4 linked regions of the Oryza sativa Japonica Group genome follow. The main gene of each other region encodes a partner of the protein of the gene in region 3 in a complex. Links are inferred from orthologs where the notes say so. Each region holds a gene or a part of one and is shown on either strand. Other genes may lie near its edges.

What was found.
Region 1: transcription initiation factor TFIID subunit 15b (region 3) and transcription initiation factor TFIID subunit 13 share a complex: the UniProt entries of both Arabidopsis thaliana proteins name them as parts of the TFIID complex. The link is inferred for Oryza sativa Japonica Group from reciprocal best matches to the Arabidopsis thaliana genes TAF15b and TAF13.
Region 2: transcription initiation factor TFIID subunit 15b (region 3) and transcription initiation factor TFIID subunit 11 share a complex: the UniProt entries of both Arabidopsis thaliana proteins name them as parts of the TFIID complex. The link is inferred for Oryza sativa Japonica Group from reciprocal best matches to the Arabidopsis thaliana genes TAF15b and TAF11.
Region 4: transcription initiation factor TFIID subunit 15b (region 3) and transcription initiation factor TFIID subunit 10 share a complex: the UniProt entries of both Arabidopsis thaliana proteins name them as parts of the TFIID complex. The link is inferred for Oryza sativa Japonica Group from reciprocal best matches to the Arabidopsis thaliana genes TAF15b and TAFII15.

Annotation. Positions count from the first base shown.
Region 1 is NC_089035.1:13,332,492-13,339,993, reverse strand, and holds transcription initiation factor TFIID subunit 13, read right to left. Parts: upstream 5,040-7,502; 5' UTR 4,997-5,039; intron 4,910-4,996; 5' UTR 4,736-4,909; coding exon 4,531-4,735; intron 4,446-4,530; coding exon 4,408-4,445; intron 4,156-4,407; coding exon 4,096-4,155; intron 2,201-4,095; coding exon 2,126-2,200; intron 2,040-2,125; coding exon 1,926-2,039; 3' UTR 1,368-1,925; downstream 1-1,367. UniProt on the Arabidopsis thaliana protein: TAFs are components of the transcription factor IID (TFIID) complex that is essential for mediating regulation of RNA polymerase transcription. May be involved in polycomb repressive complex 2 (PRC2) mediated repression.
Region 2 is NC_089035.1:28,594,102-28,601,640, reverse strand, and holds transcription initiation factor TFIID subunit 11, read right to left. Parts: upstream 4,555-7,539; 5' UTR 4,514-4,554; coding exon 4,194-4,513; intron 3,566-4,193; coding exon 3,478-3,565; intron 2,533-3,477; coding exon 2,433-2,532; intron 2,192-2,432; coding exon 2,064-2,191; 3' UTR 1,726-2,063; downstream 1-1,725. Other genes in the region: uncharacterized protein, read right to left, coding at 1-831. UniProt on the Arabidopsis thaliana protein: TAFs are components of the transcription factor IID (TFIID) complex that is essential for mediating regulation of RNA polymerase transcription.
Region 3 is NC_089035.1:3,328,232-3,335,706, reverse strand, and holds the start of transcription initiation factor TFIID subunit 15b, read right to left. Parts: upstream 4,269-7,475; 5' UTR 4,211-4,268; coding exon 4,159-4,210; intron 4,081-4,158; coding exon 3,810-4,080; intron 3,162-3,809; coding exon 2,294-3,161; intron 1,539-2,293; coding exon 1,388-1,538; intron 1,303-1,387; coding exon 1,224-1,302; intron 217-1,223; coding exon 108-216; 3' UTR 1-107. Other genes in the region: non-classical arabinogalactan protein 31, read left to right, coding at 6,007-6,591. UniProt on the Arabidopsis thaliana protein: TAFs are components of the transcription factor IID (TFIID) complex that is essential for mediating regulation of RNA polymerase transcription.
Region 4 is NC_089043.1:20,158,769-20,166,325, forward strand, and holds transcription initiation factor TFIID subunit 10, read right to left. Parts: upstream 4,833-7,557; 5' UTR 4,682-4,832; coding exon 4,502-4,681; intron 4,406-4,501; coding exon 4,341-4,405; intron 4,000-4,340; coding exon 3,937-3,999; intron 3,354-3,936; coding exon 3,296-3,353; intron 3,209-3,295; coding exon 3,158-3,208; intron 1,726-3,157; coding exon 1,645-1,725; 3' UTR 1,401-1,644; downstream 1-1,400. UniProt on the Arabidopsis thaliana protein: TAFs are components of the transcription factor IID (TFIID) complex that is essential for mediating regulation of RNA polymerase transcription.

The sequences.
Region 1 (7,502 bases), about 10 Mb from region 3:
GAGGCGGGGGTTGGGGTTAGGAATGAGGTAAAGTGGACTTTTCTTGGTGGGGTGTGGCGGTGAAGGAATTCGATCACGTTGCTGGACTTTGGGTACGAATACGATACGATACTGCGATTCGGCTTGTTTTGCGTTTGCACCCTTGGAAGGTTTTGAATTTTCCTGTTATCTCCTCTTTGGCTCTTTGCAGTTTAGCCCCTCGCGGAGTTGTCATTTGTCGAGACGATCTGGCCACATATCGTCAACATGTCAACATAGTTAGGTGATCCTCTTTTTTTTTTCATTTGTGTTCTTATCTCTTGCTCTGTTTATCCTGAATGTACGATAACTTAGTTAGGATATAATAATACTCAGTTAGGATATACTATACGATATATGCTACAATATTATGTATAATTTATCCCCTCAAAAGAAATTTTTATCTATTGTTTTAAAAATTAAATAATCATAAATATGCTAATATATCCAATGTTTATCAAATGCAACAATAGTCTCTCAACAGTGAGGAAGAGAGCAAGTAAAACTAGAAGTCCTTGATATGTGGACACTCTACGCACATAATGCAGGTGTGAACCATCCTTTTGTCAACACTAACTACTCATCAAAGTGTGCCACGTAAATATAACAAGCTAGTGCCTATACTCCAATTTTTTTCATACTCAAATTTCAATCAAATTTATAGATAAATTTAGCAATATTTATAATATAAAATTAGTTTCACTAAAACTAAGTTTTAATATATTCTAATAATATGTTAATTTTGCGTTAGAAATATTGCTATATTTTTCTATAAATTTAATCAACTTTAAAAAATTTGAAAAAAAATCAAAGTGACTTATAACACGAAATAGAGAGTATCTATTACAACAAATAGAATAGCTTGTGGACTGGGTCTGTTCGGCAGGCAGCAGGCAGGTGCAGCCGCTGGCCTTTTTTGCTTGTGAAAGCTTGCTTCACTGTTCGTATAGGCTGCAGCACTGCTGCAGCCGAACACACCCATGCAAAAGGAGCACTTTTTTTTTTTTTGTCCCAGGGTGAAAAGGAAATATTTTGTGTTATGCGCCAATGAATAAGCTTATCGTCTGCGCAACCAAGCAAACCATTACTCTGCCTTTACTTGCTAAAGATAGAGAAGCGCAGCACTATGACTTTAGGATATTTTTAACAGTCCGATCTATCGCGAACGAAGGAGATCTGTTCCCTCTCATATGAACCGTACTCATCTGCAGTAATGTAGACGATCCAGATGCCTTTGTAGCACATCATAGCCTAATTACTAATTGGAAAATCTAAGAATGTCCGAACGGGTGTTTAGCCTAACGCACGACCATGCACCCCAGTCGCGTCCTTTTAAAACACAAAGGCAATAATACCATCGTTTGGGACTTTAGATTAAAACAAAAGGTAATTACCAAATGCCATCGGCTGCCTGGGTTGCGGCTGCCGATCAGGCATTCACGCCCGCAATTGCCCCAAACATGATTATCTTATCCCATAACAATACCAAACCAAAGCCTTGTTTGGATCCAGATGGCTAATAATTAGCCCTCCAGAATCTTACTATTTAAGAATATTAAACGTAGATTACTGATAAAATTCATTCCATAACTCCTGGGCTAATTTACGAGACAAATCTAATAAGCCTAATTAATCCATGTTTTGCTACAGTAATAATCCGCTAAGTATGGATTAATATATCTCGTTAGATTCGTCTTGCAAATTAGCCCAAGAGTTATGGAATGGATTTTGTCAGTAACCTAGGTTTAATACTCCTAAATAGGATGACAGTTTGCACAATGTTTCATTACTCTCCTAAAAATGTAGTACATAATGTAATGGATGCACATCTTCTGCAGGAGAAATGATCATCGTACGACTAGTTTCCGTACTACACATAGTTTTTGCCGGGGTTTCTCCAAGAGAAATCACTCGTTATTTGTTGCCAATGTCTCTTCATTCACATCAAAAGCTTTTCTTGCCTGCTTGAGCTCTTCATTCATGGAGAGTAGCTCAGTGGCACGGTGCAGTTTCCGCACATCCTAGAAAGAAAGTACAGAGATAAATTTTAATATGACCTAATCAACTGTATTGCAAGCAACTTCACATGTGGAGTTCAGAAATGTACCTTGCGAATGAGGTAAAGAAAATCTTCTGTCAAGAGCTTGCCCCTCTTTGATGCAACGTTCTGGGCCTTGTGGACCTAAGAAAGTGCACATTATACAGTCAACAGTTACGGAATCATAAATAAACATTACATACACATATGGTTTTATCCACATGCAGGTATTTAAAATCAAATAAAAAATTACAGTTAACTAAATTCTTGTGTTTGGTGTGTATTTCTGCTGTTACAGAGTGCATACTAGATTGTAGTCATGTAAAAATTTTGTCCAACAACCTGGGGCAAAGTAAGTCTGCAGGGTAAACAGACCTAATAAATTCATATCGTCGCGTATTCAGATCACGCATGGACAAATTATCTACAAAAATATATTCAGACAAGTGGGGCATGTTTAGATATCTTCACCCCATGTCACAGGTACATTTCATTTACACTATGCACGATTACAAACTCAAGGTTCCATATCATGCAGGAAAGTAGACTATATAGAGACTTTAAAGAAAATGCCTTTCTTAATATAGTTTACAGATAATTTAAGCAGGGAAGAACTGCCAAAAGATGGCAAAGCTCTATGAATCATTAACAAAAAGGGCTCCACAAGAGATGCAAATCCTGGTGATAACTATAACCGTTGCTGAACAGGTATGGAGTGTACCAGCCAGAACAATTTAAATTGGAGTGAATTGCACCTTGGGCTAGGAATATTTACCCAACTTTCTATTTGAACCATATGCTCTAGCCAATGTTTTTACTTTGGATTATGTATGTTTGCCTCTATGTTGCAATTTGGGCTTATATAACTGTCTGTAGAACTCTTTCTCCACCCGCAGTTCTACCAATGCCATCACAATCGCTACACTCTGCCTATGCACAGTAATCCACCAGCTCCAGCTTTTGCTCAGCCTCGAGCTCCACTAGTGTTAGCCCCTGATTTGAGCTCAAGATGCTCCACCATAGCGCTGAGACGGTGTTCCGGCCAGTGGGTGCAAGAGCAGGGGATGGTCAGGTGATTAGCATGGAGAGGTCTGGAAGGTTTGTCACTGTATGAAGCTCTTCAACTTATCTGGTGGTTTATGATTGAGAAGGGAACTGAGGATGGAAAAAGTTAATTAAGGCTTTTATTTGTGGTGGACTAGCTGAGAAAGGCTTGGCAAGATGCTCCACCATAGCGGCCTGCACAAATGAGCTGCCGCAACGAGAGCACATGATGGCGCACAAGGAGAGGAGACGAGAGGACTGACGAGGAAGATGACTATATGGAGGCTGACGTGTGGGACTAATGGTCCAAAGTGCAAAATTTGATACCATAAGCTGGTTCAAAGTGAAAACCTTTGATAATACCTAATCCAATGTGCAACTTAGGAAATAAAATCTAGTCCAAAGTACAGTTCACACTTAAATTAAAGTTCAGATTTGAGACCATAAGAATAAAGTATAACTTTATATTTTCTTGAAATTTCATGTACAGGTACACTAGTTTACTTTCATATGCCGGATCTGAATTATTACATATTAGCATGCAAAAAGTTCGAATCCAATATTTTTATCACAAAACTGGTTTACTGCCGGTAACTAGCTGGTAACTGGTTTTTTGATTCAAAATTTTGGAATCGAACTTTTGTCCAGTAGAGACCTGGCAACTTATTTTCCAGAGGGAGTAGTTCTTTTTTCCCGAAACCAGTGTTCAAACTTCAAGCCCTTGGGCTCTACACAAATATGAACTATAGGTTAAAGTGAAGCCCCTATTAATTCTCAAAACATAAAAGGCTTCATGTTTCCCGACAAACAGAAGCACTGAACCTAATCACTCTTTCCAGAAAACTACCTAATCACTCTTTCCAGAACACTAGAATTGAATTAAATAAGGCAACAAATAAGGATGTCGAAATCCAAATAAACTCCTTTCATCCATACAACCTTCATAAATGTAATTTCAGTAGAAAACAAGAAAGACAAATACAATGAAAGCTTACCAGGTCAGTGACATATTCTACAACAATGTCCTCCACAAGTGCAACAGTTTCTGGAAGCGGCTGCAAAACCAACAGAAAGATGTCATTTACATACAAGATTTTAACTTAAAAGGTAGAACAGCATGTCCATTCTTTCTTAGGCAATCATGTAGTTGTGTTGTAAATCCATGGCCTACTTGCAATTATTGTCGTTGTCGGTGTTAATTACCTCCAATGTTCCACAACACAAAGTACACAAATTGCATCCTATCCCCAAACAATTCCTAGCCTGAAAATTAAGAGATGAAAGGCATAGATCGAGGTCGGGCTTACATTTGGATCATCCCCAAATCCGTACATCATGTGCTGCACTGCAAGAACGGGGAAAAATGCAGCATAAACAACGAATTCGAAGAACAGCAGCAGTACTAAAGTTTAGAAAAAACAGTGCCGTACGGTCTTTCTGGAAGACGCCGCGCTTGCGCTTGAGGGTGGTGGCGGACGCGTCGGCGCCGCCGCCGCCGCCGCCGCCGCCGCCGGAGTGGTGGTGGTGGTGGTGGTGGGAGCTCCCCTGGCCCGACGCCGACGCGGCGGCAGCGGTCGAGGACTTGGACTTGGCCGCCGAGGCCGGGCTAGCGTGGTGGCCGCCAGGGTTCTGCATCCCGGCGGAAGAGCGAAGGACGCGAGGGGTGAGGGAGGGAGACGGACGCCGCCCGCCCCCTCTTCCCGACGGCCGGCGGCGCTCCCCTCCCCTTCCCTTCGCTCCTCGCCGCCGCTTGGATTTAGGGCTTTCGCGTGCACTATGCACAGCCGTGATGGATTTCTGAGGGGCGAACTGGAAGGAAACGAGTGGAGTCAGCCTCACACTAGCGGCGGAGCGTAAGGCCGGGAAGGGGGAGAGGCAATCGCGGCGGAAGCGTACCGGCGGCGAAGGGAAGGAAGCAGCTGGTGAGCGTACCGGCGGCGATTCGAGAATTTTCCGGTCCTTGCGGCTTGTATGGTATGATTTGGAGTTTACACGAGGGAATTGCGGATGAGATTAAGATGAGAATTTAATTTTTAATCCTAATATCTTGTTTGGTAGAGATGATAAAAATTGATAAGGAGTTTAGTTAGAGATTAGGTCATTAATAAAAATGGATGGCTGAGATTTGCTTAGACAAAGTAAAGGAGGAATTCCCTCCCAATTACCTGCCGTATTGAAAAGGAGGGATCTACATCCCACCAAAATTCTTATGTCTCCCAACCAAACAAAACACTTAATAGCCTCATCCCTCTAAACTCCCAATCCCTCCTGAAAACTCTCTCCAACCAAACGGGCCATTTGAGAAATTTTGCAACACACCATATTGTCCAGTTTTGCATTACCGTTTTCGAGTGAAGACCGGTTTGTATCGGTTTGGTAAAAAAAACAATAAGAATAGCAATTTTTAATCAATTTCATACGAAAATTGCTACTCACTCCGTTCCAAAATATAACAACCTGTACTAGATGAGACATATCTTAGTACAATGAATCTGGACAGAGGTACAAGGTTGCTATATTTGAGGGAGTAAAACCACTTAGTTTTCGTAAACCAGTCCCCACGGCATTTTTACGAGAACTGGGTGATTTTCAGTCAGTGATTGCAACATTAGACTTGAGATACAGGAGAGCATAGATAAAGAAGACATGAGCCACTTAAAGATAAAGGAGAAATAACACTTTCAAAAATATTAGAGCACTTAAAAAAGGATAATGAGTTAGTACTTAGAAATGTGAAGAAAATGGTTCATATAGGGAAAGGACGAGGAACAGGCAAATTATTGTACCTATGGCTAGATCTGATAATAGAGAGTAGAGCGTCAACAACTCGACAATAATGATAACCAAATAGCTAAACGTTTCCAATAGAAAGTTAGAAGTCAATGTTGGAGCACTTGCCACCGCCGCTAAAGAGATGGCTAAATCTAAGTGCCATTAAAATTAGATCATGGCGATGTGCTTAAGGACCGATGACGATGAATGAACAAGGATTTGCAATGGGACCTACAACTAGATTAGTGGTTGTGGTGGTAATGTGCACAAGGAGAAAGAGTGGCAAACCTCTGGTCTTAAATGACATGACAACTTGCAACTTGATATCTTAACTCTTTCAATACTCCAAAGTAATATTCTTGGAAGATATGGACCTAATGAGAAACGGGTGGAGATATGAATTCATCTTTTTTCAATGGCAACTTCATTTTTAGAATGTTCCTCAATGCCCTTTTTTTTTAATTCCTAAAACTTGTTGCCTACCTCCCACTTTGTTTTTTTTTTTGTTATCTTTGGTACTAAGGAATTGACTTTATGCCACCGAGTTTAGTACTCCATCCGTCTCAAAATATAACAACTTCTAACATTCAAAATTTATCCCAGAATATAACAACTTCTTCACCTACAATCTCTTCTCAACCAATCACAATCTTCCACCATTCAAATTCTCCACCAACTTTCTCTTGTCAACCAATCACAACTTTCTTTCGTTTAATTCTACATACCTTCTTAATATCTGTGTCCAAACCTAAAACTCTCTGTATTTTGGGAGGGAGGTAGTAGCTTTTGTTCCCTCCAAAAAGAAATTTTAGTAGCTTTTGTTTAATTATTATTGAGTATATTCACGGTGACAATATACCACTAATTTTACAGGGAACTGATATTATGCTATTGTGGACAGCTTTAGCACCAAGCAGTATATTTAAGTACTCTTCATGGTCGAATTTATTTAGCGTTGGGAAAACTGAGGACCAAATACATTTTACTGAAGTAAGTTATTACCATGAGTAGCATGAGTAACCATTTGTTTTAAATTACATGGTTTGCATTCATATATACTCCCTCCATCCCACAATATGGTATGCTAGAATCGGATTGCATGTATCATACTACTACGAACCTCGTAGTACTAGAATAGGTCTCATTTGATTCTAAATTATTATATTATGAAATAGAAGGAATATACTAGTTAACTAGGATAGTTCTCATCCAATTCTAGGTTTAGGTATGAAAATATATTCAATCATTGATTTGATGAAACTAATTTGTCTATAAACTTAGTCAAACTTAAAAATAGTTTGACTTTAACTAAAATCAAAAACACTTATAACCGGAAACGGAGGGGAAGGTAACCTGAGTTAGACAAGACAACAGTCACTAAACAATGGTCATTGATGAAAGTTGTGTTTGTTAATTATTTGTCTTTCACATTTTCGTGTGGAGAATCGGTTGCAATATTTTTTGCATGTTAGGGTGTTATTTTCTTCATTTGCTTTATTTCTTTTCTTGATTGAGCAATGAGTTTATTATCCATGGTTCGCATTTCAATGCACCAAGGCATTCTTTTGCTTAGGGTTTCCCAAACCGTAGGGGCCGGGGTTACCGCGTGGTAACCGTGAAAAACCGTGCA
Region 2 (7,539 bases), about 25 Mb from region 3:
ATACCTCATGCTGCTGCTGCTTCTTCCTCGCGACATGCCGCCATTGCTGCGTCGTGGACCTCTCCTCGCCCGCAATCCCAGTCCCAGATCGGAGGCGGCAGCAGCCGCCGCCGTGTCGGGCTCCGGTGGCGTCCTCTTCTTCCCTGAGCTCTCCTGCTCCTTCTTCTCCTCATCGTCGTAGAGGAGGTCATCCCATCCTCCAAAACCGGAGCCGGATTCGGTCGATTGCTGGTGGCTCCTGCTCCGCCATTGCCATGCCCCGGCATCATAGTAGTCGCCGTCGTCGTCGTCTTCCTCTCGGCGTTGGAAGGCGGGATCGTCATCGTAGTCGTATCCGTACGACTCCTCCTCCTCCTGCTGCCGACGACTCCTGGTGGTGAAGAAGGAGACGACCCAGGAGATGGCGGACTGGGCGAGCGGCAGCGCCATGGCCATGAGGAAAGCTCTGGGCCCCGTGGCCACCAGCATGGACGCCAGCAGCAGCGGCAGCACGTAGCCGTACGCACGGAAGAGCTTGGAAAACCATGGCTCGCCGAACAGCTCCTGCGCTGACCCGCCTGGCGCGCCGCCGTCGTCGTATCCGTATCCCTCCTCGTCGTCCTCTTCCTCCATGTCCTCGTCGGACCACCACCGCCTCCTCCCGTTCGCCGCCGCCGTCGTCCTCCAGGGTCCCTCCGAGCGATGGCAGCGGCAGCGAGGCAGCTGCAGGGGGGGCACTGGGCGGTTGGATTGGGAGGCCGTTGCTGGTGCTGGAGCTGGTCCTACTCCGACGAGCCGTCCCCGTCCAAGAGGAGGACGAGGCGGCGGCGGCGGCGGCAGCGGCATAGCCATTGCCTAGCTTACGACAAGGCAAGGCAAGACGGACAAGGGATAACGATCGAGTGGCTGTGTGGACTGGAGTGGACAAGACAAGCAGGAGGTTAGTAAGGTCTTTTCGCTGCTCTAATTCATCACAACGAAATATAGCAAACCTTGCATCAGCTTGACATTTTTCCCTTCCAATAGTTTGAACCAAGAATGCAGCAGCTGTAACAGGGTCTACAAACAAACACAACTGGTGTGTTTAGTTCACGTTAAAATTGAAAGTTTGATTGAAATTGGAACGATGTGACGAAAATGTTAGAAGTTTATGTATGTAGGAAAGTTTTGATGTGATGGAAAAGTTGGAAGTTTGAAGAAAACATTGAGAACTAAACCAAGGCTGTGTTTAGTTTCTGAAATTAGAGAGAAGTTTAGAGAAAGTTGGTAGTTTGGGAAAAAAAGTTAGGATTTTATGTAAGTAGAAAAGTTTTGGATGGGATGTGATGGAAAGTTAGGAGTTTGGGAGAAGTTTAGTGTGAACACCTAGGCCTGAACCAAAACATGTTCTCAAAATAATTAAAAAACACCAAAACATCAATAGAAAGAAGACATGATCAAGATGTACCAGTGATGTCAAGTAACTAGATGCAGCCAGCCACTTCCAAAAATGAAACGAAGAAAAATAAGAAAGGATGAGATCCCCATAAACAATTGCCTAATTTCAGAATCATCGACAATACCAATACACACAATGCTCAAGGAACACAATGCCGGCGTAAATGCTCCCGCCGAAGCTGCAGCCTGCAGGACATAAGATCCTGCATAGCATCCGATCTTGAAATAGCAGAAAGACACTTCGTTTAAAAAATCGATTAGTTACAACGGCAAGAGTTCTACGTATAAAAATAGCAGAAAGACACATCGTTTGGGTTAAAACGAGGGTCGCATTTAATTGCAGACAAGCATATAATCAGATTCAGCGCATACTCCAAACAGCATAGTACACAGTTCAACTATTCATAAGCCTGAAAATTCACAGCCTACGGCCAATACTTTATACATAGAATTTTCCACGGCTAGTAGTACCGTAGTACTTCAGCTTGTACGTACTGTTTGCTCTGGTTCCCTTGCTGCGACAGAAATCACAGTAACAATTTCACAAAGCTGAAGAAATACATCTCATGTCATTCTCTCTTTCCGCGCATCTGACCGCAGAAAGGACCATCTCAGTGTCGACTGGGATCAACAGAGATGCTTCAATTCTAACGGAAGAGCCTGGGAACAGTCCGCCGTGGGATCTTCCCTTCAAGTTTCAATCTTCTGTAGGCTTCTCTGATGTGGCAAGGCCTTACTGGTCCAGAATCTTTCCTCTCAGTCATAACTATTCTAGCTGCAACAGACACAATCGAATTGTCAAAAATAAAGTGAATAAAGCCATCCCTCCTTTTTCTTCTGATGTCAGAGAACAAGTTTATGGAAAGCAGAAAAGGACATTTGAACACGGACGATTACAAAAGATCAGTCATAAGAGTGATTTGCTTTAAGAGATGAGCATACATCAAAATCATAGGTGCTTTGGTGGTAGTGTTCTATGAGCAACAAAGTAAATAAGATAATTACTCTAGACTTGCCTGTTTCAACAAGCTCACCAACAAACATCTTTGCAATTCCTGATACTACAATTGTTGTTGGTAGAGAAATCTTTTGACTGCCAGTAATGCTCGCCAATAGCTGCATGGAAACAGAATATCAAATCAACTTTAAAAAAACATGGGTGTAGCTATATTTATGGCGTCATATTTTTCATCAAAAAATAGTCGGCATGTATTTACATTGTAAGTCCCTAAATTACATATGTAATTTTAGTGTATTTACAATGTAAGTCTCAAAATTACATATGTAAGTAATAAAATTACATATGTAAATTCGAAATTACATACTAATTACATATGTAAATGGGGTGTAAATGAGGTGTAACTACTGTGTAAGTGGTTAAAAAAAATCGACTGTAGCATATGGCGCCATATTTCTAGCAACTCCGAAAAACATTCCAATAACGCAGTGATCTCATATTTCAACCACTGATGAGGAAATACATTAAAGCACTTGTCCCTCTGACTAGAACGTAATTTCAAAGCATTGTTAACTTCAGGCATTCAACAGCCAAAAGTAACATTTTTACCGAGAAAAAGGTCAAACTTTGGATTGACACTACAAAAAGGCTTTCTTAGCCTGCCTATAAATTGAAGAAAAGAATATTGACCAAGTTTGGTTTTTTATTTAGAGAGTGTACATCACTTACAATCAGTAGAAACGATGACATAGGCAAAAATGTATTTATCTACAACTTGGAGCGAAATCAACTGTCCTGTACATGAAGCTCTATCAACAATTTGGACAAGACATGCATGGTACATTGTACAACTCATGGTATGCATCCACAAAAGAAACATGAACCAAAATAGAACAGGTGTTATTCAACAGAAAATAAGGTAACTGTAAGACTTAAGAAAGCAGAAAATGTTAATGTGATCCACATTTTGTGGAAAGCTTTTATTGCAAAGGGGAACACTGAAGCCAATTCAGATGGAGGCGCCACACGCATCACACGCACATGATATTGCAGTTTATACTTGTACGATATTAAATCAATGGATGTTGGGAATGAGATCATACCTTTTTCATGTTAGATTTCTGGAATCCAGATCTGCGGAATGACTCATACCGGTTCATCTGGTCTTCTGTAAATTGAGACAGTATGGCACTGGAAAAGGAGTACATAGTTTTTCAAACATAGAATTCTTATTTAGATGGGTTTAATATTTCACTATATATATTGGAACATAAATCTGAGAAGTGCATAATGTCAGGATGTTCTGTAAATAAAATCACAAACAATTGAGAACAATCCCCTTTTCCAATTCAGAAATCTCCACTAGTACAAATCTTACTGTCACAAATTAACCAAAGTTGAACGGTGAAGGACACCAAAATACACTGAACTTGATCAAGAACATATTCTCAATAGACAGTCATATGGTTCCTAACTTTAACTGATCTTTATGCCAGTAAACGCTTCACATATAGCTGGAAACTGGGACTACAGTCTTTATGAAGTGAATAATGTCAGGTTGTTCTGTAACTACAATCACGAACAATCCTTACTCCAATTCAGAAATTTCCACTAGTACAAATCTTACTGTCACAAATTAACCAAAGTTAAAAGGGTGAAGGACGCTAAAACACTGAACTCGATCAAAGAACGTATATACTCAACAGACGGTCATATGGTTCCTGAATTTAGTTGATCCTTATGCAGTTAACCCTTCATATATAGCACGCACCAGAAGAAGGCAAAACTAGGTTTAGGATGAGCGCAGCCAAGCACCTACTTCATCTTGGCGAGCTTGTCGGGGTCGCTGGTGCCGGAGGGCAGCTTGTCGAGGTCGACCTCCATGTGGTCCTCCTCGTCATCCTCCTCCTCCTGCTGCTCCTTCTGGACCCGCACCACCTTACCCCTCGCCGCGGCCGCGGCGGCACCACCGGAGCCCGATGGCGCGGCCCTCGAAGGAGGCAGCCGCAGCGGAGGCCCGCGCGACCCGCTGGCGCCGTCGTATCCCTCGGGCGCCCCGGCCGCGTCCTCCTCGTTCGCCGCCGGCGACTCCGGCGGCGACTCCTGCTCCTCCACCGCCGCCTCGAACGGGTCCTTCATGGCCGCGGCTGGAGACGAATCGCAAGAGTCCAGAGTCTTCTGAAAATTTTTGGGCCGGGGTTGACCTACCTGCTCGCCGCCGCCGGGCTTGGTGGGCTGCTTCGCGCGTGGGCCTTTTTCTCGGGCCGGATTTCTGGGCCGATTTCTCCGTGGCGGCCGCGAGAATTTTCACCGGTGAATCAAATCGCTCGTGCCGAACGCGCCACCGCTGAGCAGCTCACGCCTCACGGCGCGTGCAGCAGCGGCGGAAACAAATTCTCTAACTGACATATGAATTTTGCAGTTCGTGAACCTACATATTAACGACGTACTCCCTCCGTCTTATAAAAGACCAACTTAGTACTAGATATAACACATCCTAATACCATAAATTTGAACACACTATACTAGAATATATCACATATAATCCTAGATTCCTTTTTTACGTCAGAGAACAACATCAGAGGAGCATTCTTTCAGCAACGGCAGATGTTACACGCTTATACACAGTTGAAACCGTGATGTGGCCTACCTCCGATGCGGACCTTACAATGGCCGGGCGCAAAGTAAAGAAAAAAGGAACAAAAAAAAACAGGATTACTACTACTACCATCATCAGAACAGCAACAAAAAAGTTTCATCTTTTCGTTCGAGACGTATCACATCGTGCAACAGGTTTTCGGGACCAGAAAACTCCCAAGCCGTGGGCACTGACCCACCGAGAGACCCATCCTGAGAACGATGCATCAAACGTGTGCAATAAAAAGCTTAAGCAGCTACAAAAACAACAACCCCGATCGATCACGCTGGGATTTGGGCATTCAGGAGGAGGATAGGATTTGCTTTGCCCCCCTCTCACAGCTTTTGCATTACCTCCGTATCGCGCCTTGTTTAGTGGAGGCCGTTTTGTTTATTGCCGCTAATCCTAACGCATAGGATTCTCGCTCGCTCACCATTGACCTCCTCTTTGCCCAAGCAAAGCCTCGCCATTAGATTACTTACCCAGATCACACAACAATATTCTTCGCTAGTTCTTGCAGCTCTCTCTCCCCTGAATAAAATTGACGGCACAAAGGTGCTTTCTGGCGCCGATCACTTTGCTCCACGAATATAAAAAACAACATACTATATGCACACACATATATACTATCATACTCCGTATGATACATCATACATGTGAATATAAAACGACGAGAGCCACATATATCGTCGTGTTTTTTTTTCCGCTTTGCTGGTGATGAGAGTGAATATTCGACCGGCTGTTCGTCTGAGGCTCGTCTGACCAAACTCCCGCTATCATTGCCGATTATTATTCCTCGCTTCGGTTGCGCTGATCGCTTTCAGCAACAGGGGGGGAGGGGGGGGGGGTGCGACAAACAAAAAGAGATGCCCAGCTCGTGTATATCTCTCGAAGACTCCCAAAGCTGTGTGTGTGTATATATATATATATATATATATATATATATATATATATATATATATATGGGGCACCATGGTGCCCGGGCACCATGGTATCTAATGCACAAAATCACTCAAAATTTTCAAAATTTTTAAATTGTGAGTATATACCTAGTTATAATAATTTGATTCATACCTATACTTATCAACAAAACAACTCAAATTTAACTTTATTTCATAATCCATGATTACATACCTAACTAATTATATGTATGGATGCTATATACCTAGAATCAAAATATAACAAAAACAAGTTCAAATTCAGTTCAAACTTGCTTTAAACTAGTTAGTAAAGTAGTTAATGTTAATACCTAAGTAATTGAAAAAGTTTCATACTCATTTGAATTGGGTATATACTCAATTTCAACAATGGTGCCCGGACACCATGGAGCACCAAACAAATTTAATATATATATATATATATATATATATATATATATATATATATATATATATATATATATATATATATATATATATATATATATATATATATATATATATAGAGAGAGAGAGAGAGAGAGAGAGAGAGAGAGAGAGAGAGAGTCCTGCCTCCAACTGGTAGCGTATAAAATATCATCGTACGCTTGTACTAAATGGAGGTCGTATCTGCGACGGGATCGTAGCCAGCCAGGCCTGATCTCCTGCTATACTACCTGCAATGCAAGTCCTGGCTGGAGCTGCAAAAGTGTAGCCTTGTCCGGTTGTCCCCTGTTCAGGGGCGTACGTGTCGAGCTCCGGCGATCTCTGCTGCCGCCGGGACGGCCGGCCGGGTGCGTCCGTGCGTGGTTGGGATCTCACAAGGTGGAGCTCGCCACTGTCTCGCTGCTGGAGCTGTGTGACGCATGGCGATACGCCCCTCTTCTGATTGAGAGAATGATAATTCTATACTCATCCGTCCCATAATACAAAGGATTTTATATAAATATGACACATCTTAGTGTAATAAGTCTAATAAGTCTAGACCGTCGTACTAGGATATACCACATTCACCCAATATCTCTTATATCATAGGACGGGAGGAGTATAAGGTGTTAGGAGGTACTATATTTTTTAATATAAAATTTATTATCTTCGTTTACTAGTTATCTTAAGGTATCATAATTTTTAATATAAAATTTTAGAATATATAGATAATTCGTTTTTAAGTATCGTAAAATTTCTCCTAAAGTAATGCACGGCCAAGGTTGCCTTCTTTTTGTAAAATCAGCAGCCTCATCCTCTTCTGTGTGTCCATTTCTTTTCTCCTTTTCTTATTGTTGTCTTAGGCTTTTTTTGCGGTTCTAAATTCTAATGGCTATCAAGCATCAGCATTGCTCTCACCCTTGTCTTTTCCGGGCTTGTGCGATTCGAGTGGCCATTATGGGGTGATTATTATGTGTACTTGGAACAATGTATCTGTCAATGTGGAGGAGTACTAATAATCCCTGCCAGCTGATTAAAAAGATTATGCAGCTTCGACTTTTTGTATGGCTTGTGTGGTAGTGGACTGTACTAGTACTATGCTAGCTAGGTGCATGCTTATGTGCTGAAATGGTTCTCAGGAAAATAATAATGGTATGAATGCTATATTCTAAAAAAGAAGAACA
Region 3 (7,475 bases):
AAAAGCAGGCAACCTACCTTACGCTCTTGTTTTGAGTACAAGTCCGATGAACAGGAATAGAAATGGTTTCTCACAGATGACAATCTTAGTAACTATATTAGTTGCTTTCAGTATGGCCTTGAACGCGAACCACCACCTTGATGCCTGTTAGGCCCATGGCCTCCTCCATCTCTGAAGTTATCCCTGCGACCTCCACCATAGCCACCACGTCCACCTCTGCATGCCATGTAATGCAGTTGATTATACATATACAACTCGACATGAGTAATAACTTAAGTTATATATGAGCTAAAAGTGGTGTGGACAGATATTAAATACCTAAAAGGCACAACTGATAAAAATTAAACAAAAATCATTCAGTTGCCATATATTACTTGTTTTACACCATGATGTATATGCCCAAGCACATACATAAAATAACAAGTAGTGTTCACAAATATTGTGTTAAATCGAGGTATGCTAAAGATTTCAACCAACACATTGTCCCTTACACAGTCATACACTACACATTGACTTAAGACAAGTGGTTAGGACCCACCTTGTCAAGTGAGAATAAATAGATATTTACAATTATCCAGTTTCTAAAATAATACCAAACAACTTCGAATCGTGGCATGTTAGTGACATTCTTTTCTAGCTAGGCTAAAAATTACACAAAGAGGTTCAGTGAACAATGTTTAAGATCTTAACCCGGAAGTAGTACAAGTGTACATTGACTGATACATACTTGGCATTCTACTGCTCCCACATTCAACTTATTTCTACACCATGAATGTGTTATTATAAGCCCTTTGTGACAGAATGCATATGCAAATTAAGAACACATAATTGAAGTATCAGGTAAAACTACCTTACACGCTATACAAAAAAATATGATAAGAAAAGTCCCCAGATTATGTTCCACCAGAATCCAATCAATGTAATTGTGGCTTACATCACATTTCTAGCTTAAGTGCTTGGTTTTACACAGTTTTTGTAGTTGAAGAAAAAAAAGCTACACCAAAATAACATAAACAGATGGTACGTGTCATATACTCCTAATATCACAGTTTCTTAAGGGGGCAACCTACGAGCACTTTGAAGAATAGATTCAAACATCTAGGCTATCAAATTGCAACTAAAAGGGGCATGCTTTGCCCATAATAGAAGCTGTCTTGCTTGGACATAGGCACACAGCATTCCACAATCTGCATTTAGCATCTACAGAACTGAAAAGTACTTACCCATGACCATATGCAGGAGCTCTAGGAGCTGATTTCTCAGCCATCGCAACACTAATTTTATAGCCTCTCATTTCATAATCTGGAATATCAATAGAAAACATGCATTAAAAATTGCAGAACACTGTATTTATACACACATAATATAATCTCGATGCTGAACTTACTGTTATAGAATCCACCAGCTGAATGAGCAGCAGAAGGATCTTCATAGGCAAGGCAGGCATCTCCTTTATTCTTTCCAGAGTCATCAGTATAGATCTTTATGTTCCAGGGCCACTGGTCTTTGTAGCCACGTTTCTGCTTGATCCTTCCAACCTTAAGAAAAAAGCAGTTGCAAAAACTCAAAACACAGCCATGAAACACAAGCAGTTACCACCCCCAAAACTAAAGAAATTAATTTCTTGCAATAAATTTAGCTAGGAACACTAAGTAATCTGTAAAACCAACTTTACTTTATTATCAAAGATTTTACATTAACATCATGGGGTGATATGCCACGAATTATTTGGCATAAAATACCAATATGGGAGTAAAGCAAAATTACTACAAAATCATTGAATGGCTTGGTTATAACTAAAATTACAGTACTACTACTTCTACAAAAAAAAAGAGCATCATTACTGCAAGATGATTATGTTACATCAAAACAAATATCCAAATTTAATTATGCACATTGAAACACAAGGGTGTACTTCTCCACTAGCAAGGAAAAAAACAATATGTAATAAGCTCGCTCTAACTGCGCTGTATACAACAGATGGAGCAGATTTTGTGCAAAACTATGACTTGCAATGTGCTAGCAGTAGTGAAAGCAAAAGGGGAAAAAAATGTTAACAAGCCCAACTACAGATTATAAACATCATCTGAATACTGATTTGTAAATTTACTTAAATTCCAACAAGTAATATCAGTAACACTGGAAAAAGATATTATGGCGAAACACATAAAATGAAAAACATGAGGTTAGAAAAAAGACATAAAATGCACAAAATATTTCAGTGAGCGAATCGTGAAATGCACAGTTCATAAACACTAAATATGTGGGAGCTCAAGAGGAGGTCAAAGTATACCTGGCCGATTCCTCCAAATAGTTCTTGCAGTTCCTCAACAGTCACATCAGGAGGTAAGTTGGAGATGTAAATTCTTGCATTATCACAAGTCTCATCACAGTTTGCATCACACTGCTTAACCTTTGCAGCTGGCTCTGGAGCAGCACTGCCAGTGTATCCGCCGCCACCGCCGCCGCCACCACCACCACCACCACCACCATGATAGGGTGGAGGTGCACCAGGGCCTCCACCCCCAGGCATAGGCCGACCACCATACCCACCATCATATGAAGGAGGTAGGCTACCTTGGCCACCTGGAGCACCACCGCTATATGGCGGGTTCGGAGGTGGTGCACCATAACTTGGTGGATATGAACCTGGACCACCACCATAGCTACTAGGAGGTGGCACTGCAGAATCTGAATTGTATGCATTATTGCCTCCATAGGAGCTTGGAGGTGCTGCATAGTCACCACCAGGCCCACCATAGGAAGGAGGACCTTGAGGAGGAACTTGTCCATAGCTACCAGCGTCATAACCACTTTCGTCTCCCCTTTGGTTGTTCCCTTGGTCTCTTCCCCCATAACCACCCCTGCCACCACGGTGGTCATCAAATCCACGATCATCGCCACCACCTCTATTGTAACCTCCTCCTCTTCCTCCCCCTCCAGTGCCACCACCACGGCCACCAGAGTTGTAATCTCCTCCACCTCTGTTGTAGCCACCGCCACCTCCAGAACTAAAATCGCCACCACCACGATTGTAGCCTCCACCCCCTCCACCAGATTTATTATACCCTCCACCTCCACCTCCACCTCCACCTCCAGCAGGAGAAGGTGCTCCACACTTGTTGCATTCAGTCCTCCTTGCAAAGTTCACATTGCCACAACTGGAACAAGAATGATAAACAAATATATTAGGAATATTGGAAGAGAACCAATGAAATTGCAACCGAATATTCTGCAAAATATAACCAACTCAGCAAGACAACTAATGCCATATTGAAAGAAACATATTCATAAAAGAAAGTATTTACTGTATTTTGTAGTGCTTATTTACTGTATTTTGTAATGCTTCCAATAACACCATGAACTCATTTCAAAAACATATATGAAATTTCTTCTCTGCCACTCTGCTATACCAAGGAAAATAGAACATAGGGGAGGGGAAGAAATCATGGGAGACAAGTATAACATAATATTTATGTATCTAGAGGTTCAACATAAATTTAGCACTTGTGACCTAAGATTATAGGGAGCTCTCATAGAGAATGAATTATGCAGTTAACTATTTGTTGGCAGTTCTGATGCTCACAATACTACGATGAAACAAAAATTTAGTAGGACACTTCACACATGCCCCATGCAAAATCCTAAACCAAATTATCAAATAACCCAATAATTTATAATTTAACAACCTAAAAACCCTAGATTTCATGGCCAAGTAGCATAATTTACAAGACAATCGGGACAACCACGATTTCATCAGTCACAGTCGAATCAAACGAGACAACGTCAAATGAGTAAACGAAACAAACCTCGGGTCTGGGCAAACCCAGTCACCGTCACGTCCTCCACCCCTCCCGCCGCCACCTCGGCCACCGCCACCCCCACCCCCACCTCTCCCGCCGCCGCCACCGCCGCCGTAGCCTCCTCCTCCACCGCCACCTCTACCACCGCCGCCGTACCCTCCGCCACCGCCGCCATATCCTCCGCCACCACCACCATATCCACCTCCCACACCACCACCACCATATCCTCCCCCTCCTCCTCCGCCACCTCCCCTCCCACGGCCGCCTCCGCCGCCACCTACAAAAAAAACCACAAGCCAGTCAGGAGCAGATCCAGAAGCAAGCACGCACACAACCCGCAGGATCCCGACGCGACCTCGGCCGCCGTAGCCGCCGCGGTAGTCGTCGGATCCGTACGACCCCGACATGGTCACGCGCCTAGGGTTTGGGAGCGTTCCGGAAGGGCAAGTGCGAACAGAGTATTCCGAATTTCTGATACGTGTGTGGATTAGGGCAGAAGTAAGCAGTCGAAAGAGATGGATTTGGGCCGGAATTAAACGGGAGTCGAATTCTCTCGCTGCGTGTGGGCCTGGATTGCTGGGGTGTACATGTAATGGGCTGTATATTGGGGATCACTCAAGGCCCATTGGGAATTTTCTTTGGTGGGTGTTTGGCCCAGCCCATTAATAATATTCACTAGCCTTTTGTGGACAAATGAAAGTGTCAAAATTTATTACTACCTCCATCCCAAATTAGATATCGTTTTGACTTTTTGCTTGCAATATTCGACCATTCGTCTTATTTAAAAAATAATGCAAACCTAAAAAGGATAAGTCATACTTAAGGTATTTTGATAATAAAACAAGTCACAAACAAAATAAATAATAATAACATAATCTTTTAAATAAGACGAATGGTCAAACATTACAAATAAAAAACTCAAAACGACGAATATTCTAGAATGGAGGTAGTATATTTTTGAGCGGAGGGAATAGTTAAGAGTACTGATGTTAAACCTGTGTCTTATATATCTGTTTGTTATTGTTTTTTCCTAGTTAGAGCAGGGCTAACCTTACCATCAGGGGTTGAGTTACCGCACCCAATCGTAAGCACGGTAATCACACGGTAAACCATGAAAAACTAGACGATGCTATTAGAAGTTCATATTATTATGTAAATTTATTTGAATTTGACGGGATAAGTTACTATTAGTGTATCCAAAGGTAAGTCCGGTTACCGCGGAAACCGCACAATAACAAGCGATATTGTCGATTTATGACCTGTTTGGAATGTGAAGTGAGAATTGTCTTCTACTCTTCCATAAATCAAATCTTTAGGACAGCACATATAAGTGATATACAAAAATGATTAGGCTCTTCAGACATGTAAACTTAATCGGATAATTTCTCCCTCAAGATGAAAAACAAGAACTAGAGCACATATTGCTCTTGATGGGATGGAGATGCTACGTTTTGTGAATTTTTGGGTAAGCTCGATTAGTCAGACTTCCTTTCCATCCAGTAACTTTCGCCTTAAACTCTCCTACTCCTATGTAGAAACAATCAGAAAATTCTCTTACTCCAGTGCTCTCTGTTTATCTTTCAGTCGGTTTCAGACAAAACATGGACGCACATCATGCTCCTACATGAACTGCACATTTTACAGATAAAATAAGATGTCAGTTCGTTTTCAGATTATAAAACAAGTTGTCGCTCTGCCGGCAAAATTGATTATTTTGCGCGGCATTGCGTTGGGGAACATCTCTCTGCCTACACGGAGAACCAGATATTGCAGTTGAAGTCTTGAGGACACACGCGGGCAGCACGTTCTCTGACAAATCTGCATATCATCCTTCTGAACATTCGTTATCTATGTCAGACTGACCAATCGCCAAACAGATTACAAGCATGCGATTTCTTCTCTTAAAAATGCCCATGGTGACCAATCATTACATATTGTCTTTCTTTTCATTTCGACAGGTCAATCATTGTACGTATAATATTGTCACAATTTTACAATAATGTATAATAAAACGTAATCTTAATCAAAACCAAGACATTTTCCAGGACAAACATGGCCACCACTTCGGGCTTCGGCCATCTACATGTCCGCACGTTTGATCCATGGCAGTATATAAAACCCCAAGCCTCTCTCCATCTCGACACAGCCAAAAAAAAGCTTCACACAAACCATCTCAGTCGAGCTTACACCAAGCTCCGCATCAATGGCTGCCTTCCTCCACCTCGCCATCCTCGTCTCCCTCCTGGCCGCCGGCGCCACCGCCAACAACGGCTACACCACACCATCGCCACCGCCACCACCGCAGCACACGCCGCCGCCATCGCCACCGCCACCGGCGCCAGCGGCGCACCAAAGCAGCGACAAGGTGCTAGTGAGGGTGGAGGGGAAGGTGTACTGCCAGAGCTGCGAGCACCGCAACTCGTGGAGCCTCGACGGCGCGAGGCCGCTGCGCGGGGCGGAGGTGTCGGTCACCTGCCGCGACGCCAAGAACCGGGCGGCGTGGTGGAGGCTGGCCGTCGCCGACGAGAGCGGCTACTTCCTCGCGGAGTTCGGCGTCACCAGGGCGTCCGACTTCCTCGGCGCCGACCCGCGGGGGGCGTGCTACGCGCGGCTGCTGTCGTCGCCGGACCGCAAGTGCGACGGCCTCACCAACATCAACGCCGGCATGGTGGGCGCGCCGCTCCGCGACGAGGGCAAGCGGTGGCCGGGGCAGGGCTACGACAACGTCGTCTACGCCGCCGGCCCGCTCGCCTTCCGGCCGGCGAACTGCCCGCCCAAGCACTACTAGATGCGCCCGCCGCGGCCGCCCCCATGCGTGTGGCGCGCGCGCACTCTCGTGCTTTTGAATTGGGAGAGGTCGTCGTTGGGTGTGCGAAATTTAATTTGGACGGAGAATATATCCTGGTTTATTTTGTGATTCTGTTCTAATTGAATTGGTGGTGTTATTATGTGATTCTTTTGTAAGTTGATATTGTTGTGGTTCTACCAGTTTTACGGCAAATTAATCAAACTTGATGTCATTTTTGTTGGGAAAAAAAGATAACCCCGCGAGTATATAATTTTCGGCTCCATCGTTTCGCTTATAAGCGAAAGGTCATATTTACAACAAAAAAGAATATGAATAAAATTTTTACATATGTGTTCTTAGCGATCTAAAAGCAAAGGCTGGAAAATAAACTTCGACGAAAAAAAATATCCTAAAATCAATTATAAATTTAAGGTTTAAAATTTAAAATTTGACTGATAAGTATAAGCATAAGCGAAAAAATGATGCCGATAATTTGCTTCAGATATCAGGCTAATGGGCCTTGTGGATAATGCTGCGGGGCACTAGGTCGTGATTTTGACGGCCCACACGAGCTGAGTAACTCTCTACGTGAAGTGAAATTTTATGATCCATGAAAAAGTACCTCAAGTACCTAAATAAAAATATATTTTGGTACCTCAAGAGTCAAGATACATGGAGATACCAAGCTTAATTTACACAAGAAAAACTCCCAATAATTTCTTAAGGATGGTAAACCGTAAACCCTTATGTGAATTAGTGAGATCAGTGGTAGGATAGAGCGGCCTCTAACAAGGAGCTAGTCCTAGCTAGCTGCTGGCTAGGGGCGTGTGGTACTGTGCACATAAATTATAGTCACCGGCTCAACGCACCGGTATGGCGACACA
Region 4 (7,557 bases), on a different chromosome or scaffold from region 3:
TGACGCAGCTACTTGTCTTGAGTGCGAAATCAAAAGTGACGCAGTGAAAAACAGTAAACCAATCGCTGTAAACCTCAGGAATTTCAACCAGGGGATCCTTGAACAGTGTCTACTCAAACACGATCACTTTCACATCAGTAACCATCTAGATTAATCTTCAATAATATAATTGCACCGGCCATGTTTTGTTAAATACTCCTATATGGTCATCACAGAAATATACCCAAGATGAAGTCAAAGTTATTCTGATATTCTCCAGTTCCGACAAGTGATAACATAGATGACTTGAGGAGGAAGATATTCTAAAATGCATGTAGACCATCATGCATATTGAAATTATAGAGTGACCAGAGCATATAAGATTTCTTAACTTGAGATACTCTGATGGTGGGTTGGTGGCCTACTTATGATAATAGGGCTGGTCCCTGTCAGAAATCCAAGCTGCATTGAAGAGATCAATTAGTACATCGAGTTTCTTCGTAAGTATCATTACATAAACTTACTTTTTGGAACATCAGGTAGAAATTTATTTCATGTATGACAAATTAACAATCCAAGGTCAAGCATGCACCACGACACTGTACTGCCGTCTGAAGTATACATGAGCCGACCTTTGCAGGTTCATGTTGCTATATGTGGACGGTCAAGAACATTTGCACTCAATTTCAATTGCAAGGTACACTAATGTTCAATGAACAAATGATTGGGAAAGGACACTTACCCTTCCACTTAAGGGCGTGGCTATCAGGCTATGGCTCTGAGAGACTCAGAGCATGAAAGTTGCTGACAGAATGAGCTGCATAAACAGACACTTCGGTTAGTTATTATGCTATGAAAACTATACAATTATTTGTCAGAAAACATATGTATGAAATCTTAATAATTAGATTGTCCAATAACCCACTCGACTAATCTAGCGTAATCATGGCCCTTTATTTAGTTTATACCTGGGTTTTTCTGTGTGACAATGTCACGAAGTTCACTGTTAACTTAAATAGCTCTTGGATGACAAGTTGACAGGATATACCTTTTGTATTTCAGCAATGCATTCTTACACTATTTCAGACGCTATACACATTGTATGCAGATTTGACTTGTGTTCCTGCAATATAATAATGAGAAGATAAGGTAGACCTACCTGATCTCCAGATCACTCCCAGGCCCCAGATCACTCCCAGACCTCCCTGCGGTTTTCACTGAGAAATGATGTTTGCCAACGTAACATCAAGAAACAAAGTAGTGAAAAGCTATAGCATGTTGCATTTTCACTGAGAAATGATGTTTGCCAACGCAACATCAAGAAACAAAGTAGTGAAAAGCTATAGCATGTTGCAAAGTCAATTAGTTTTCAGCTGTCAAGGATCCACCAGGCAATTTAAAACAGGTTTCACACAGAGGAATCAATCAGCACAGATAGTACTTCATACTAAGTACAGAAGCAACCAGTGGTATTAGACTATTAGTTACAAGCTAATGGTCAATAGTATATCAAGGAACAGACATCAGGTTGTAATAAGGTCGGTAAGGATGCTGACAGGTTCATTCATTTGCATGCTGTAATAAGGTTGGGTAAGGATGCCGACATGGTCATTCATTTGCATGCTCCCTACATAGTCCCTGGTTTCACTTTGAGTTCAGTTGAGTCTACTCTTCTCTTGCTGCAGGAGCCATTCCTGCAGAAGGGCTGTCTGCGAAGTACTCAGGATGTTTCAAGTTCACACCGTGCTGCAAGGAAATAAGTATGGTGCACATCAGAAATTAAGCATTGGTATACATGTTTGGTAAAAAGGAGCCTACTAGCCTATAGTCAGTGGTTACCAGCTTACTGCACCACCATAGAGGATTTGATGTACACATTTGTGATCTATATTGGCATTTGACACGGGAGTAAAAAGTGCCAGTTTCTCAAAATGCATCAAACATAAATGCCTAATTAGGATAATTAGGAGTTACAATACTAAACGCTGGACAATGGTAATCTAATTCTATCAAATGACGTGATGATCTACTGATAGCTGCCAGCATGTTAGAAAACAAAAATAAATCTCAAATTGGTAGTATGTGGAACAAACATATTTCATGAAAGCACAAAGCTTCTATAATGATAGCTCATCTGTAGAGCATTACAGTCCAGAGTTATGTGATATTGTGACATGTCAAGGATGCCCTTTTGTGTGAGGTTTCGTGTGTAGAAGGTAGATTGATTCTGAACCATGGAATTGTAAACATAAGTGTACTGACCATGATGTGATTATAGCTGAATCAGTCATTTGCCAAGAATATTGCTGGGAAGGGAAAGCATAGAAGATCATTTGTCAAATAGACCTGTATATGAGCAGCTCATCCCTGTATATGAGCAGCTCATCCCAGGTCTGCTTAAATGCTTATTTCATGTACTATAATGTATGTGTTCTGGGGAGTGGATTCTAATCCCTCGAGGGGATGTCCCCTCGTATATATTTTTCTTTCAAAATCAATGCAAATATAGTTGTTAAAAATTCTGAAAAATATTGACAATGTAGAGTACAATTATATCTAATAGTCCACCAAAAATAAAGTTCAAATTCGACCTACACATCGAGAACCCAAAAAGACAAATTCAGATATTAACAGTGCGGTACTATTTATACGCTGAATTTGTCTTTTTTTATATCTCGATGTGTGAGTTGAATTTGGACTTAAGATTTTGTGAAGTTGTATAGATATGTTGTATAAGTGTTGTCAAATTTTTCTAGAATTTTTCATAACCGTTTAGATGATTTTTAAGCGGCACATCCCCTCAAGGGATCAAAATAGTTTCCCATTTGTTCTTCTGGTAAAATATTCCAATACAAGTAGGCTGTGACTGATTGTTGAGTTGATTAGTCTATCTGAATTGTGATTAATCGTGAGCATCGTGAAGCATATACAACTGATCAATTTGGCTACTTGTTTCATTAAAAAAAACATTAACAAGTAATCCCATTGGTCTAAAAAAGGTTAACTAAATCCATTCTACAGTAGATTTATTAATGCAGAGATTCAAGTCCTAATAAAACTAATAATTGCAATTATACGTCAAACTGAATAAACTGTGACTTCAATCACGTAAAGTACAGTGGTAACTGGTGAGCTGCAGTAAAAGGGAAAGCTTAAATTCAACAGGAAAATGGTTTACCTCTTGCAAGGCCTTGGAAAGATCATCCATTGTTAACACAAGACGCCTATCCTGAAGAACAGAATGACTGAACCAGTAAATAAAAGTACTGATTTCATGCTAGTAGTACCATGGTACACCAACTGCAATTAAACCCACCTTAGGTTGCTTGCTCTTGTTATCTTTGATAGGTGCTGCTACCCTGGCTTTGCAGTGCCTAGTTCAGGACAATAATCATGTGATGAACAAATTAGTGTGCATGATACCTTTTAACTGTCACAAGTTATGATACAAGCAACACCATAAGAAGCTTGACTTTACACATAAAGTTTCAGTCAGTACTGAAATTAGATTCCCTACCACATCAATGTTATGCATATTTCGCAATCTATTGTCTTAACAATATAGACATAAGATACCATGTTTGATGTTTCATTCCATGGTCATAATGTGAGAAGGATGATAGAAACAAAAAAAAGGAAGCACAAAGAAGATGCAAGTTGACAGTATGAAGAAAACAAGCCTAAAATCAACATGGTTATCTCAAAAAGCTGCCAGCATAGGAGAAATGAGGCTACTCAACATCTCAAGAATGAAGCATATTGCATACACCTCCATTTATGAATGATGCAAGAAACCTCATGGTTCATGACCATCATCAGAAATCATATTTCTCATTCACTATCTGAAGGTAACGAAAATTCGACTCCAAGAATCGATAACCACTAAAAAGGAACAAAATAATCGCACATACGTTTAAGTTGGAAAACAAAACGAATGAGGCAGTAAAAGTTACATACTGAAGAGAGTCGCTTGCAATGTCCGAAATGAACTTTTGGGTGGCTACAGCAACCAGCCTCGTTCTGCAGAGAACACAAAAATTATGGTTCATAAGGCCATGCTGTCACACATGACGACCAACAATCACCAAGCTGAAAGGGATACAGCGATTTTCTCCCTCGACTAGAATGGCAACACGCTGCATTACAATGCAATCCTAACAGCCTCAATCAGATCTAACTGTCACCATGTTGTACGTACTAAGAATCAGGCAAAATTCAGTCCAAATCTCTTCAGTGATTTCCGGGCACTGGACGAATTTCAGTTTAATAACTACCAATTGGCCCATCCTGGAAGGCACGGTGCAGTCTTCCTGAAAGAGAGAAGAGATTGAACTATTGGAGAGATAGATGGGGGTGCTTACAGGCGGAGGTCGGGGCAGTAGAAGCCGCTGCGGCCAAGGTAGTGCTCCACCAGCTCGTCGGGAATCTGCCGCACCACCACCACCACCACCACCACCACCGCATCAGACACGAAACCCAAGAGAGGGGGAAGCTAGGGCAAGATGGGCGGCAGGCGCCGTACCGTAGGGGTGTAGTCCATGAGGGAGGAGAGGAACTCGGTGAGGACCGCCTCGTCGTCGTGCCGCCCGTCTCCGCCGCCGCCGCCGCCGGCGGCGGCTGCCCCCATGGGCCCTCCTCCCCCCATGCCCCCCGGAACCATGGCGCCACCGCCGCCTCCGCCTGCGCTGTTGCTCCCCATCATCCTCTGGTCCCCCGCCTTCGCCGGAGGAGCTAGTGGGGTTTGAGATCTGGCACGTCGGCGGGGAAGTTCGCCGCCGATGGACCAGGAAGAGCGGCGGGAGTCGTCGTCGTCGCCGGAGGCTCGAGAAGGAGGGGGGAAGAGGGAGGGGAGTGGTGGGCTGTACTCCGGCCCTTTTGGTAATAAGCGTAGGATGGGCGGAGTTCAGGCCCGTTTGGAAAAAAAAGGGATAAGTCTATTTTACACCTATGAAGTCTTCGTTTTTGTCTAAAACTAGAAAAAAAAAGTCTATGCATTGGAACGGGTAAATGCTATTTTAATTTTATTGTTGTTATACGGTTTAGCTACGGTAAAATTCACTGTGAAAATTTGATTGGATATTTTTTCAGAAAATCATGAGCTGCAATTAGGAGACCGTATTTAATTTGAAGTTAGCATGTGAGTTTTTTTAAAAGATTTCTTATACGACTTACTTCCAATAGGAAATAAGCTTAAAATCTAACTCAAACACGGTTCTGTATTTTCAAAAGTGAACGAACTTAAAAACCGACTCAAATATGGATGACAAACCAAAATTCTAGCAAAAACATCTTCAGTTTTTATAATAGTAGAGATACACCCAATACTCTAAAGCCGGATATTTCACACCCTCTAACTTTTAATACCATTCACTTTATACCCCCTGAGCGGTTTACACCACGTCAGCAGGTCCTACAGTCTTCTTTCACCTTCCCCTCTCTTTCGACTCCCTCCCTCTATGAGCTTGAGGCAGCCATGACGAGATGGACGGAGCTGCGAGCTAGATGCGAGCATAGAGAAGAAAGGGGTCGGCGGAGAGCTTCGTGCCGAGCCCACCCCCTTGGTCGTGCTCGGAAGAAAAGGAAGGTTGGCAGCAAGCTCGATGTGGAGCTTGCCCCTTGGCTGAGGTCAGAGAAGAGGGGGGTTGGCGGCGAGCTTGGAGAAGAGGAACTGCTGAGCACGGAGAAGACGGGATCACCAGCAAGTTCCAAGGAGGGTTGATGGGCAGTAATCGGCCCCTCCTACCCAAGCTTCGATGTCATCATAAGCTCTGAGATCCGCTGCCACTCGTCCTATCCAAGTGTTGCTGTCATCGTAGACCCAGAGCTCTCCCCCCCCCAACACCCACTTGCCGAGGTCAGAGAAGACAAGTGCCAGCAGCACAACCTCGATCCCACGATAAGCTCAATGAAGGAGCCGATGCCGCTGGGCCTGCTACACAAGCTCAGGGAAGTCGTCGGCACTCGCCTCATTGAGCTCAGGGAGGTTGCCTCGCTACTCTACTTGTTAAGCTCGGGAACTCATCAACGGCCTTCTACCCTCGTCATTCATCTCGAAGAGGAGAAGGAGAGGAAAGAGGAAGAAGAAGAGTAAGAGGAAAGAGGGGAGGTGGCCTACGGGTCCCACCTTTTTATGTTCTTTTATAGCTAAGTTTCCATGTAGGCACCACATAAGAAAATTTGCGTTGGTTTCCACTAAGGGGCTAAAATTAGACGGTTTGAAAAGTTAGAGGGTGTCAAATACTCAGTTTTAGAGTTTGGGGGTTTATTTTAGACAAAGCGAAGAGTTCGGAGTTGTCAAATGGACTTATCCCATTTGAAAATCATCCAAATAATATAATACAAAGAGAAGTTGCAACAAGGAAACATAACCGTTATATGCTATCAAGAAAAGGTCAATTATATGATTTATTGTCAAGTAGCAAGATTTTCTTTACAATTTCACTTAAGTCAAAGAAACACCACTATTTATGTTTGCCATCAGCTACTAAGTTACATTCACTGATGTCTAGTAGAAAGCGTCATTTTACTCATGCAATGTAGCATACCATCACTGAACTAAGATTCACGGGATAATGCATATTGCATACCAACTCTTACTCCTCAATGGTGACTAGGGCGGATGATCTAGCACGGTCAGGGAATACGTTAAGACGATATGATCTCACCTCTAATGTTTGTCCTTGTGATGGATACCTTAAGCACCTTGTTTGCCAAGGCAAAAGAGGAGGGCTTACTGCAGCCGATCCCAATCCCGCACCGCATATCCCTTTCGGAAAACAATGTGGTGCTCTTTCTCCGCGACCAACCAAGACTTCCAAGTGGCAAAGAAAATACTAAACTTGTTCGAGGAGGCAACAAGTTGCAGACAAACTTTAGCAAGTGTGTCAACAATCCTGATCAAATGGAGCGACAATGACATCGAGCTAGGGGTGGTAATGGATCAATCCCCACGAGTTCTTTCACAACCCTACCTAGACCTCATATACTTTTAGTTCGAAAATGAATAGAAATTCAACCTACCCATTTTAGGCCTAGCCCTCAAATTTTGTAGGCTAAAATGTTAGGCCCTTTACCACCCCTACATCGAGCTCATCCGCAGCGAGCTGCCTTACGAGGTGAGGTGTTTCCCTTACTAATACCTAGGCATACCCCTGTTGACCAAGAAGCTAAGGGAAGAAGATCTCCAGCTCCTGGTGGATTTGGTCGCTAGACGTTTGTCATCCTAGAAAGTAGGGCAGCTCACGCCTGCCAGGAGAGTAGCACTAGTCAAATTAGTTCTGAGCTCTATTCCCATCTACACACTAATCATCATTTCACCACCTAAACGGGTGATTAAGGGGATTGATCGAATTCGCTAAGAATTCCTTTGGATTGGTAGGGTAAGACACTGTTGGCTCGCTTGGGACAAAGTTTGTGCTCCAAAGTAGTACGACGGGTTGAACATTCACAACCTACATCTTATAGGGGTCTCATTGTGCTCTCGGTGGATCTAGTCGTCATGCACAGACAACGACAAAGCTGTGGTGGGGGCTACCTAGTGGCGGAGCCACAAATTACTAAAGAGTAGGGCTAACCTGG